3 linked regions of the Mus musculus genome follow. The protein of the gene in region 2 binds, or shares a complex with, the protein of the main gene of each other region. Links are inferred from orthologs where the notes say so. Each region holds a gene or a part of one and is shown on either strand. Other genes may lie near its edges. The genes, in order: Aim2, Ripk3 and Zbp1.

Region 1 (3,569 bases), on a different chromosome or scaffold from region 2:
TAAAGATAAATTTATCCCAAAGAGGACAATTAAAATATCAAACTACCTTTGGCACAGTAACTTCATGGAGGTCACCAGTTCCTCAGTTGTGGTTGATGTTGAATCTAACCACGAAGTCCCAAATAACGTTGTTAAGAGAGCCAGGGAAACTCCCAGGATTAGTAAACTGAAGATTCAGCCATGTGGAACAATTGTGAATGGGCTGTTTAAAGTCCAGAAGGTAAGTTCCTATACGCAATTTTATATTGATCAGTAAGAATAATATAAAATATAACACCTATTCTAAGCCTTAATGGGACTTTAGAAAATACATTTCAATGTTTTTTACTCTATTAAATCTGAAACAATTAAAATAAATTTAAAAATTGATTTTAAATCATTTTAACAATTAAAAAAGAATTTTACAGAGTTCAGGATTTGTAGGATGATAATTTACCAAGACAAAGCTCACCAAGTTTTATTTTGTATTTTTGATTGTTTTGCTGTTTGAGACAGGGTCTTACTGTGTGGCTTTGTCTTATGTGGCATGCACTGATATTCGCTGCCCCTACCTCTTGAGTGCTGGGATCCAAGTGCATGTCACCACACACAGCGAAGGAAGGTTTGATTTTGAAACTCTGATTTTGAAATTTCTTTTTTTTTTTCCGCCTTGTAGCTTCTGAAGCATAGACACAGGCATCTTCACCTCTGTGTTGCTTTTATGCACTTAGATACTAGCCATATTCAAAGTCACTGTTGGGTTGAGCACTCTGCAGAGGACTGATGTACAGGTATGGTTTGAAGACAGAGAGAGAGAGAGAGAGACAGAGGAGAGGGAGAGAGAGAGAGAGAGAGAGCCTGACTTGAGCTTCTAAAACATCAAGGCCCACCCCCAATGACATTTCCTCCAACAAAGCCACTCCTACTTCAACAAGAGGCCACATATCTTAATCCTTTTGCATACTGCCACTCCCTGTGATCCTGTGGGGACCATTTTCATTCAAACCAGAAATCAGGTTAAAAAAAAATATATATTAGTCTTGTACGAACAGTTTTCTGGCCTAAGAGCGACCCTGAAGAACCACAGGAAACGTGTTGATTTCTGAACTTGTAGCCAGGATGGCCTCTCTCGTCTTTTCAGAAAGGAGGCAGGAGGGAAATGTCTTCCTTGGAAAATTAAAGCATAAAAAACACTCATCCCCTCTCAGTTCTGAGCCTTCCGTTTGATCAATTACCCACTAATGTTTTCTCATTTAGTGAATAAAACTAACATTGAAATATTGATATTTTACATCCCTGACTAGAATCTGGTCTCCTTCTAATCTGGACTTGACTGTGAATGATATTTCATTCATGGTTGACTTTTTACTTTTAAATTTCTTCACTAGGTCTTTTATTTTTGGTTCATGGGTTTCTGTTACTTGTTTCCTTAAGTGACTCTCCTCCTAACCAGGAGGTGCTCCTTTCCCATGACTGCCCCCTGCATGCTGGCCCTGGAGAAGCCCCACCTTCCCTGTCTACCCGTTGTTTCTGTGAGTTATTCTGGCCTCCCAAAAGAAAAAAACCTTGGGACTAGGAAGATGGACACAAGAGGCAACATGCTTTTAATATAATCCTCCTACCCCTTCCACTGAGATTTGCTAGAATCTGTTGGGTAGAAGTTTGGAATTATTTATTATATTATTTTGGAAAGCTGCTCCTAGCTTGTCTGATAACTGATTGATATGCTGCTCTTTCTTAGTCATCTAGCAGGACTTGACTCATATTTTCCTTTCACAGATAACAGAGGAAAAAGATAGAGTACTGTATGGTATACATGATAAAACAGGGACAATGGAGGTGTTGGTGCTGGGAAACCCAAGCAAAACAAAGTGCGAGGAAGGAGACAAGATTAGACTCACGTTCTTTGAGGTGTCAAAAAATGGAGTGAAAATTCAGTTGAAATCTGGACCTTGTAGCTTTTTTAAGGTATGGAAATTCTCAGAAGAGGATGTTGTTTTGTGTTTTCTATTGGAAATCCAATGAACAGGATGGCAGAGAAGAGCTTAATATGTATGCCTTTGCATCTCACAGACCTGAGAAGCCTGTCATTCAAAAATACATAACCCAGATACACAATTCAAAGCTGTGGATTTCCCAAGGAAAACACACATATGCGTGTGCATGTACACACACATACACATACACACACACACATACACACACACACACACAAACACATACACACATGCACACACAAAATCTCACTCTCCTTCTTTTCTTCTTCTTCTTCTTCTTCTTCTTCTTCTTCTTCTTCTTCTTCTTCTTCTTCTTCTTCTTCTTCTTCTTCTTCTTCTTCTTCTTCTTCTTCTTCTTCTTCTTCTTCCTTCTCCTCCTCCTCCTCCTCTCAAAGAACTTTCCACAATGAATTTATTGAATACAGTCTAAATCTAATGAAGGCAGCTTTCTCAAAGTTGCACACATCATTCTGGCAAATGCAGTTAAAAGTCAAGTCAGACTATAACACCCTGACAACAAACATCTGAGCCAGGGCAATCATCTTCACATCTGTCATAGTCCAAAGCAGTTAAGTCAGCTATCACATCCCCGTGCTGATGATCCCACTGATTCTGCTTTCCTCTCTTCCTCACCACTCAACTGTATATATAGAGTTATTAGATGGGGACCTGAGAAGTCTTCATATTTGTCCTTCTTGTGTAGGAGTGTGTGTGTGTTCAGGGCAGATATAGTTCAGGAGAGTTGTCCAAGAGTGACAGAATTAAGAGGAAATATGTGTTAGGTGAGGAGATTTGATGAGAAGAAAGGAATTTTCAGGAGAACACAGTAAGTGAAAGTAGAGGAGAATTAATTAATCAACAATATTTCAGTCTTCATCTTCCTTTCCTACCCAGGTTATTAAGGCTGCAAAGCCAAAAACTGACATGAAAAGTGTGGAGTGAAGTCACCTCATTTGAAAAACCTTTTCCTGAAGAATCCTGATGCTGCTCCTTGAACTAGACTGAACTACCTGAGGATAGCATTTTACAACCTCATCATCATATTGTATTACTTAGAAAAGGACAAATACTCAAAAAACATCTGAAAAATATATGTAAACTTATTATTAATTAAGTTATTAAGACTGCCCAACCTGGGGATCCATCCTATATACAACCACCAAACCCAGACACTATTGCATATGCCAGCAAGATTTTGCTGACAGGATCCTGATATAGCTCTCTCTTGTGAGGCTCTGCCAGTGACTGACAAGTACAGAAGCAGATGCTCACAGTCATCTATTGGATGGAACACAGGGCCCCTAATAAAGGAGCTAGAGAAAGTACCCAAGCAGCAAGTGGTCTGCAACGCTATAGGAGGAACAACAACATGAACTAACCAGTACCCCCCAGAACTGTGTCTCCAGTTGCATATGTAGCAGAAGATGGCCTGGCCGGTCATCAATGGGAGGAGAGGCCCTTGGTCTTGCAAAGATCATATGCCCCAGTACAGGGGAATGCCAGGGCCAGGCAGCAGGAGTGGATGTGGGTGGGTTGGGGAGTGTGTGTGGGGGGTGTTATAGGGGACTTTCGGGATAGCATTTGAAATGTAAA
Region 2 (4,288 bases):
CCAGGCTGGTCCTAGAGGTCTGCCTGCCTCTGCTTCCTGAGGGCTGGGATTAAAGGTGTGCACCACCAGTCCTGTTACCCAACAGTCTGACACTCTAGGATCTTGAAAAGCTTTCATGGAGAATATATGCCATGCTTGCCTGAAGCATGAATCAGAGTATTTACTTGCCAAAGGTATCACACAAGGGGAAGGGTGGGAAGCCCTTAGAGCTGCTACAGAGGCCATCACAGCAGCAGTGGCTCGATTGCAGGGCCAGCACACCTATCCTCATTACAACACCCTGGCATAGACCCTGGGCCTTCCAGCTCCACAACCCCTACTTAGTAGCTGCTCTTGCTGAGCAGGGATTCCAAGAGGTCCTTTAGTGCATACTGCGTGCCTCATACCTTACCTGCACCACAGGTAGATTTATATAGCCCAGAGGCATTGTCAAGAAGAATAAGCTAACTTGAGCTGGAGTGTGTGTGTGTGTGTGTGTGTGTGTGTGTGTGTGCCGCTTAGTAGGCAAAATTCTTGTCATGCAAGCATGAGGACCTGAACTCATATTCCCACAACTAAAGTGACATTGGGGACAGTAGCCCATGTATACCATGCCAGTGTTCCTACAGCAAGATGAGAGACAGGAGAATACTGGGACATTAACAGGCTAACACATAGCATTATGCACACAGCAGAGAACAAACTGACCCTATCTCAAACAAGGTCGAACACCTACACACACACACACACACACACACACACACACACACCATGACATGCACCCCTTCACCACATGCATGGTCATGCACACACATAAATAAATTTTAAGATAAATAAGAAAGCCAAGCATGGTGGCGTACACCTTTAATCCCAGCATTTAGTCAGGAGGCAGATGCAGATGGCTCTCTGTGAGTTTGAGTCAACCTGGTCTGTATACTCGAGTCCCAGATCAACCAGGGCTCCAAAAAGAGACCCTGTCTCAAAAGTAAGTAAGTAAGTAAGTAAGTAAGTAAGTAAGTAAATAAATAAATAAATAAATAAATAAAATAAGGGCTACCTTGGTGGAGCAGAACTCGGTTCTAAACTAGTCCCATACTTACTTGGCCAAGCGATTTAAACTTTAAGTACTTGGGTTTCCTCCTCTATAGAAAAGAAAACACGGTTGATCTAAGAAGCCAGTATGTGTACCTGGCCCAAGACAACCCTTACTAGAAGCGTTACTCCGTGATCTTAGGACCATAAAATCCTCCTGATCTCCATCCTCCCTTCATCAAAATGTGGTTGGCAAGCGGTGGAGCTAAGGGGTCCAAGAGAGACTGGCTATCGTGGGGAGTCAATCGTTCCTGGATGGTGAGGACACCTTTTGTGGCACGCCCAGTGCCTGGGCGCTTCTCGGGTGGAAGCAGTTTCAAGGCACGTGCACAGGAAATAGCCCCAAAGTTTTCAATGCTCCACCCCAGGGGGCGGAGATAGAAGGAGCCTCTTATTTGAAAGGGAAGTTGTGAAGTCGCTCATTCAAAGTCCGGGGGAGCGACCTGGGAAGCGGAATTCGGGGCCTGAACCTCCGTGCCTTGACCTACTGATTGTTCCCTTTGCAGACCCTGCCTTCCTCTCAGTCCACACTCCGAGCCGTAGACGTCGGGTTTCCAGCTCCGTCTGTGCACACATAACTCCAGGAAGCCGCTAGCTCCCGACGATGTCTTCTGTCAAGTTATGGTGAGTGGGGAGTGAGCTGTGTCTCCGGCACACCCACACAGGTGGCCCGGGGACACACTCAAAGGACGCCTTTTCTGAGGCAGGGGACAAAGCTGGGGGTGAGGCGGGCAGCAGTGGGGAGGCTAGACTCGCTGCCTACGCTGCCCACGCGCAGTCACGGAATCCCGGAGCTTGGGAGACAGAGGATGCGCTAGGCTGGGGGATGGGCCCCCTACCGGACAAGAACCTTTCTCAGGCCTACTGGTGCGTCAGCGGTTCCTCTGGTGAGCCGTGAAGAACTGAAGAAGCTGGAGTTTGTGGGTAAAGGAGGGTTCGGAGTCGTGTTCCGGGCACACCACAGAACATGGAACCATGATGTAGCAGTCAAGATCGTGAACTCGTGAGTGACCCCAGCTGTAGTCAGAGTGTGGTCACGAGCCTGAGTGGGGCAAGGGTGGGGTCTTCCAGAGCGCAATCCAATTTTGGCCCCCTTTCGGCGTGTAGGAAGAAGATATCCTGGGAGGTGAAGGCTATGGTTAATCTTCGTAATGAGAACGTTCTGCTCCTGCTGGGGGTCACTGAGGACCTCCAGTGGGACTTCGTGTCCGGGCAGGCTCTGGTGACAAGATTCATGGAGAATGGCTCCCTCGCAGGGCTGCTGCAACCCGAGTGCCCTCGGCCCTGGCCACTCCTCTGTCGCCTGCTGCAGGAAGTGGTGCTGGGGATGTGCTACCTACACAGCTTGAACCCTCCGCTCCTGCACCGGGACCTCAAGCCCTCTAACATTCTGCTGGATCCAGAGCTCCACGCCAAGGTTAGTCCATCTACAACCTAGTGTAGACTTGGGACCATGTTGAGTACCTGTCCCTCTGAATACAAGACTACACACATGACAAGACCCAACTAGGAGTTTTATTTCTAGTCATACCAGGTGACCCTCCTTACCAGACGCCCTTCTTAACCCCCTGGCTCAGTTCCACAGGCCTAATGCACCCTCACGGACCCAGGCTGACTTATCTCAGGCCTGCCCATCAGCAACTCAGATCTCCTGCTAAGTTCTCAATGACTTTACCTTCCCTCTGGTCCTCCATAACACCTTCCAAAAAGCTGAGGCTGCTGCATCTTCTGGGGAGCAAGAGAGGGAAAAATCTCTGACCCCCCCCTTCATCTAATACCTTCCCTTTCCTTTCCTTTACAGCTAGCAGATTTTGGCCTGTCCACGTTTCAGGGAGGGTCCCAGTCAGGGTCAGGATCAGGATCAGGATCCAGGGACTCTGGGGGCACCCTAGCGTACTTGGACCCAGAGCTGTTATTTGATGTCAACCTGAAGGCTTCTAAAGCGAGTGATGTCTACAGGTAAACCATCCACCCCAAACACACTCCAAATCTCTATACCAATTTGGGCCCTTCTAAAGGGAATGATACAGGAAAGAAGTCTCGCCAGAGGCCATCTAAGCCTCCATTTGTGTCTGTACAGCTTTGGGATCCTCGTGTGGGCAGTGCTGGCTGGCAGAGAAGCTGAGTGTAAGACTCCAAATGGAGTACCCGAAAGCACCTAAACCCCCCTGGAGCCCTCCCTTTTACCCTGACCCACTAACACACTGCCCTCTTCCCACCTCACCTCTCACTTGGATGACTCTCCCTGCTCCTGTCCGCGATAGAATGGGCTGTCCCCTCATTTCATGAATTCCTTATGTTATCCCCCAACTCCAGTGGTAGACAAGACTTCACTAATCCGGGAAACAGTGTGTGACAGGCAGAGTCGTCCTCCACTGACAGAGCTGCCTCCAGGTAGCCCTGAGACTCCCGGCTTGGAAAAACTGAAGGAGTTAATGATTCATTGCTGGGGTTCCCAGTCCGAAAACAGGCCATCCTTCCAGGGTGAGTTGGCCGTATCTCTGGCAACTAGGGTAGGCTTGGGTCTTCAGCAGGGAGCTCCTCCAAGGAAAGAAATCCGACTCATATACAACTCGCTGTTGTCTTTCAGACTGCGAACCAAAAACCAATGAAGTTTACAATCTGGTAAAGGACAAGGTAGATGCTGCTGTCTCCGAGGTGAGTTTCTAGCACTGCCTTCCCATCCAGGAACTGTTGGGAGATGGCACAAGTGGCTCCCTTAACCATTCAGTTTATCTTCACTGGCCACCATTATTTAATCCTTGGTTGTCATTCCCATTCACCAGAACCTACTCCTTAGTCTCCAGAGACCAAGAAAATTTTCACTGGGGTTTACTTTGGCTGCCCCAGCTCCTGACAACAAGGTCCCCCTGTCTGCACAGGTAAAGCATTATCTGTCTCAGCACAGAAGCAGCGGCAGAAACTTGTCTGCCAGAGAGCCAAGCCAAAGAGGCACAGAAATGGATTGCCCGAGGGAAACCATGGTTTCTAAAATGCTGGACCGCCTGCATTTGGAGGAACCCTCCGGACCAGTTCCTGGAAAATGTCCTGAGAGGCAAGCACAGGACACATCAGTTGGGCCTGCCACACCAGCAAGGACATCTTCTGACCCCGTGGCTGGCACTCCTCAGATTCCACATACTTTACCCTTCAGAGGCACAACACCTGGGCCAGTCTTTACTGAGACTCCCGGTCCTCACCCCCAAAGGAATCAGGT
Region 3 (4,161 bases), on a different chromosome or scaffold from region 2:
GGTGTCAGAGTCCATGTCTTGCCATTTAGAGCCTCTCTTCTAACAGTGAGTCTGGCCTCTGATACTCCTGTGGAGCTTCAGCGGTCTGGAGAGGCCCATGGGGGTGCACTGAGCTGCAGACCAGGGCCCCCTGAAGTTGCACCTACATCTCTTTAGGGTCTTGAGTCTGGAAGAAGGATGTGTCCGTTGGAGATGGGAGACACCCTGCTCCACTAAACATGGGGAATGATTTCTCAGGGGAGCTGGGGGCAGCACATTAGGCTGGGACCCAGGACCTCCTGTCTGTTTGGGTCACAGATACTGTCTGCTGAAGGTTGAGGTCCCAAGGCTGCTTCCTTTCCTGTCTCTATCTGGAGCTGAATGAAGGCAAGGTGGCCCTGGGGACCGCATCAGCTCTTGGAACTCTGGGTCCTTTCTTCTTGATGGCTCTCAAAGTCACCTGAAGGCTCTGAGTGAATCCTTACCCATCAGCCCTCACTATCCGTGTAACTATTGCCTGCAGTGTGTCTTCACTACTGCTAATGTCTATTGCACACCTACTATGTATAAGCCCTAAGCTTCACATTTGGCTCCATTGGCCAGAAGAAATCAAGAGACAGAGAGGGAATGGCCAAGCTCAGATTTGAAGCCAAGCCTCGTGGCTCTTAATGTGCGTGTAGGGGGGAGGAGAGCTTAGTGTGTGTGGGGGGTCTGCTCTGCCTACATGACAGATTACCAAGGCTAGGCTGGGCACTGGAGTTCTCAGGGATTGCAGGAGCCCCATCTCCAGAAGCAGCCCCGCCTATGCTCCATGTTGCAGGCTCTGGGGAGGACACTCTGTCCTCCTTCTTCAGGCGGTAAAGGACTTGATTGAGGGTTTTCTTGGGCACTTGGCATTTCTTCACCAGCTGGCCAATCTTCACAGGGCCGCCGTCATCGCTCAACACCTGCAGGATCTTTTGCTCCAGATTGTCTGGGGAGGAACCCAGAGAAGAGCTGAGTTAAGCCTAGTCCCCAGAGCAGAGAAGGCACCTGTGACCTGGGCCAAGCAGACAGGAACGACGACACCACCCAGAGGCAAGGGTGTCAGTCAGGTGGCCCCTCACCCCACAACTAGATGTCTGGGTGGCCAAATGGTAAAATAGTATACAGCCTGCCCTGTGTACTATGTGGAACCCAAACAGGTAGGAACCCCCAACTCTCGGACGATGGAACAAAAGGGAGAGGCAGGAAACCAAGTCTAGCCCTGAAGTCCCTATTTGGTGTCTTGATGGCCTCTCAGCCTGGCCAGGAGTCCCTTTCTCTCCTGCTCAGCACCCACATCGAAGGCATGGGTGTTCCCAGCCCAGGAGCCCAGCAGATAAGAAAAATGGGTCTCTCCTCCCTTGCCTGATACAGCAGGAGTCCTGAAAACCCAGCTCAGCTCTTTAACCCAGCCTCAATGTCATCTTCCAGATGCCTGCCTGCCAACTCCAGAAGGCTTCCTCCCAGAGCCCTCCACCCCTGCTAGCTACCCAGCCTCCTCCTCCGTGTCTAACCCTGAGGATCCCCAAGTTCCACCTCATGTCCCTTCCAGCACGTCTGTCTGCTTATCCATGAGTCTGCCTCTACCTTTCTTTCTTTCCTCTTGTGACAAAGTCTAGCTCAGGCTAGCCTGGAACTCATAGCAATCCTCCTGCTTCAGCCACAGCCCCACCCCAGGGTGGGGCTGGGGGTGGGGGTGGAGGAGGAGGAGGGTGTTGGGGGAAGGATTATAGCACTGAGCATCTATTCCTGACTTGGCTTTGCCTTGCCTTGTAAAACCTTTGCTGGGGAGTGTGCCCTGTAGTGGCCTCTCCTTCATTCCTTTCTCCCACTGGCCCCTAGGGACACACAAGGCAGGCCAAGCCTTCTCCAAAGGGTGAACTTGAAGGACTGGTTGCAGGGTCTGAAAGTGGGACTTTGGAAAGCAGAAGGCTGCAGGTGACAGGCTGGAAAGGTTAGCAGTGAAAGGAAACCATGGGAACCAGGTGACCTTAGTTCTGGTCTTTGCTTGGCTCCTCCCTGATAGCTTTTGAGCAACCACTTCTAGTATGTTGAAATAAGAAATGATTTTCAGCTGGGCGTGGTGGCGCACGCCTTTAATCCCAGCTCTTGGAAGGCAGAGGCAGGCGGATTTCTGAGTTCGAGGCCAGTCTAGTCTACAGAGTGAGTTCCAAGACAGCCAGGGCTACACAGAAAAACCCTGTCTCGAAAAAACCAAACCAAACAAAAGCAAACAAACAAAAAACAAAAATGAAGTGCTTTTCAAAAGATGAAGAAGAAAAGCAGTGAACTAAATCCTGCCCACAGCATGGCAGCCTCACACAGCCCTGCACCCCGCAGCCTCCCATAGCCCAGAAGCCCCTAGACAGGGTATGTAGTCTCAGCAAGGGTTCAAATAGGGCAGGAGAAGAGCTTGAATGTAAAATCAAAGTCACATCTCCTTATCAAAGCAAAGTCCTCTCTTGAAATGACAGTTCGGAGCCCGAGGGCTGTCACAGGCCTTGGTGACCTCATCAATGAGGTAAGGTGACATGAAGGATCTGGGGCACAGGATCCTTGAAGCAAGCTGACTTCCCTGTGGTGACCTCAGAATCCTGTTGCTGTCTGGGCCAAGGAAAGAGCTAGGAGCCTTAGAAACATCAGCTGGGACCCACGCGAGGTGAAGGAAGAGGTTTAGCTTACCTCCTGTGCTCAAGTCAACAGGAGCTTCTGCCATGCTCACAGCAGCCTTGGGGCTCCTTTAGGGCAGGGGGTGGCAGTTTCTGGCACTGTGGTCAGGCCTGGGGCTCTGAATCCACAGGCAAGAATGGCTGCTTGGACCTGCAGGCACCAGCTGTTACCATCCCGGAAACAAATACCCATCTGGCTCCATCCCCTCCCCGCCCTCCAGCTTTTCAAAGAAAGAGAAAATGAAACTTTGGTGTGGTTCTCGGAAAGAAAGGGTGTCGAAATCGAAATTGAAATCGGGGTGGGTGAGCAAGCTGGAGTTGGATGACTGTGTGACAGAGAAGAGAGGAGTCTTGGCCTCTGGGGTGGAGACTGGTCTCCCACCGGGAGAGCTCTATCTGAAGAGAACTCTGTGAAAGCCCTGTGAGGAGGAAGATAGATCTAGGAAAAGGCACCTACTGTGCCTCCCCCACATGCCCACAGGCAGGTGTAGTACCATCTACTCACATACCTTCTAGAAAAAGAGCCCCTTTTCTCACTTTCATAAATTCTCAGTGACCCGTGAACAGCTCAGACACTTCTCTGTTCCATATTACGTAAGAGGGGATCGGGGCTCACAGAGATGGCCTTGTGTCCACCACTCAGCTCACAATAATCCCAGAATCTGGGTCCCGGCTACAGGGTGGAGGTGGGGTGAGTGCAGAGGCCATGATCTTGGGACCTCTGTACCTGTCTGGTGTGCAGGTCACTGGTGCACAGGGCAAGACAGCAGCAGTCGTTGGAGACTAGAAGGAGGTGATGTGCCTGGAGGATGTCTGCCAAGCAAGCAGGAGGTGGCAGGTCCCCAGTCAGCTTCACCTTACAGAACCTGAAAGGGTCACCAAGGGACCAAGACCAGGCCAGGTCTACACAGCTTAGGATGGGCCTGTGCATGGGAAAATATTAACATTTCCAAGTGATTTTTTTATGACTTCCAGGGAGGAAAAACAGTGCCTGCAGAGCCAGCCAAGGAAAACAGAAACCGCACTGCCTGTTGCCACCCAAAATAAATAAAGTCGCTTTTAAATGAACTCTCAGCTGGCCCCATTGAGGGACACTGCCCAGGTTCCCTAGAGGCGCCATTTGAAAACTGACCACTAGGTGGCGCATGCTCACCAACCGCCTCTTGCCCAGGGGGTCTTGCTTGGTCCCTAACCAAGGTGGCTCCAGACTTAGCAGGGCTTCAGGACATGCCCTCCTCACTCCTTTCTTCAGCATTTTCCTCTTCCCTTCCCTTCCCTTCCCTTCCCTTCCCTTCCCTTCCCTTCCCTTCCCTTCCCTTCCCTTCCCTTCCTTACATTAGCTGACCTGCCTGGAAGGAGTCAGAGCCTCCTAGGTCAGTGACTCTCAACCATCCTAACTCTGCACGTCGTTGTGATCCCCACCATAGAAATGATTTTCATCAACACTTTGTAACCATAATTTTGCTATTGTTATGAAACATAATGTAAA

The links.
Region 1: Ripk3 (region 2) and Aim2 share a complex: the UniProt entries of both Homo sapiens proteins name them as parts of the AIM2 PANoptosome complex. The link is inferred for Mus musculus from reciprocal best matches to the Homo sapiens genes RIPK3 and AIM2.
Region 3: Ripk3 (region 2) and Zbp1 share a complex: the UniProt entries of both Homo sapiens proteins name them as parts of the AIM2 PANoptosome complex. The link is inferred for Mus musculus from reciprocal best matches to the Homo sapiens genes RIPK3 and ZBP1.

Annotation. Positions count from the first base shown.
Region 1 is NC_000067.6:173,462,101-173,465,669, forward strand, and holds part of Aim2 (interferon-inducible protein AIM2), read left to right. Parts: coding exon 1-220; intron 221-655; coding exon of another isoform or gene 656-763; exon of another isoform or gene 764-1,752; intron 1,753-1,758; coding exon 1,759-1,947; intron 1,948-2,870; coding exon 2,871-2,918; 3' UTR 2,919-3,569. UniProt on the Homo sapiens protein: Sensor component of the AIM2 inflammasome, which mediates inflammasome activation in response to the presence of double-stranded DNA (dsDNA) in the cytosol, leading to subsequent pyroptosis.
Region 2 is NC_000080.6:55,786,024-55,790,311, reverse strand, and holds the start of Ripk3 (receptor-interacting serine/threonine-protein kinase 3), read left to right. Parts: upstream 1-1,454; 5' UTR 1,455-1,675; coding exon 1,676-1,695; intron 1,696-1,849; exon of another isoform or gene 1,850-1,930; coding exon 1,931-2,074; intron 2,075-2,178; coding exon 2,179-2,488; intron 2,489-2,872; coding exon 2,873-3,030; intron 3,031-3,151; coding exon 3,152-3,198; intron 3,199-3,295; exon of another isoform or gene 3,296-3,387; coding exon 3,388-3,555; exon of another isoform or gene 3,556-3,661; coding exon 3,662-3,729; intron 3,730-3,953; coding exon 3,954-4,286; intron 4,287-4,288. UniProt on the Homo sapiens protein: Serine/threonine-protein kinase that activates necroptosis and apoptosis, two parallel forms of cell death. Necroptosis, a programmed cell death process in response to death-inducing TNF-alpha family members, is triggered by RIPK3 following activation by ZBP1.
Region 3 is NC_000068.7:173,216,057-173,220,217, forward strand, and holds the start of Zbp1 (Z-DNA-binding protein 1), read right to left. Parts: upstream 2,867-4,161; 5' UTR 2,720-2,866; coding exon 2,686-2,719; intron 953-2,685; coding exon 716-952; intron 1-715.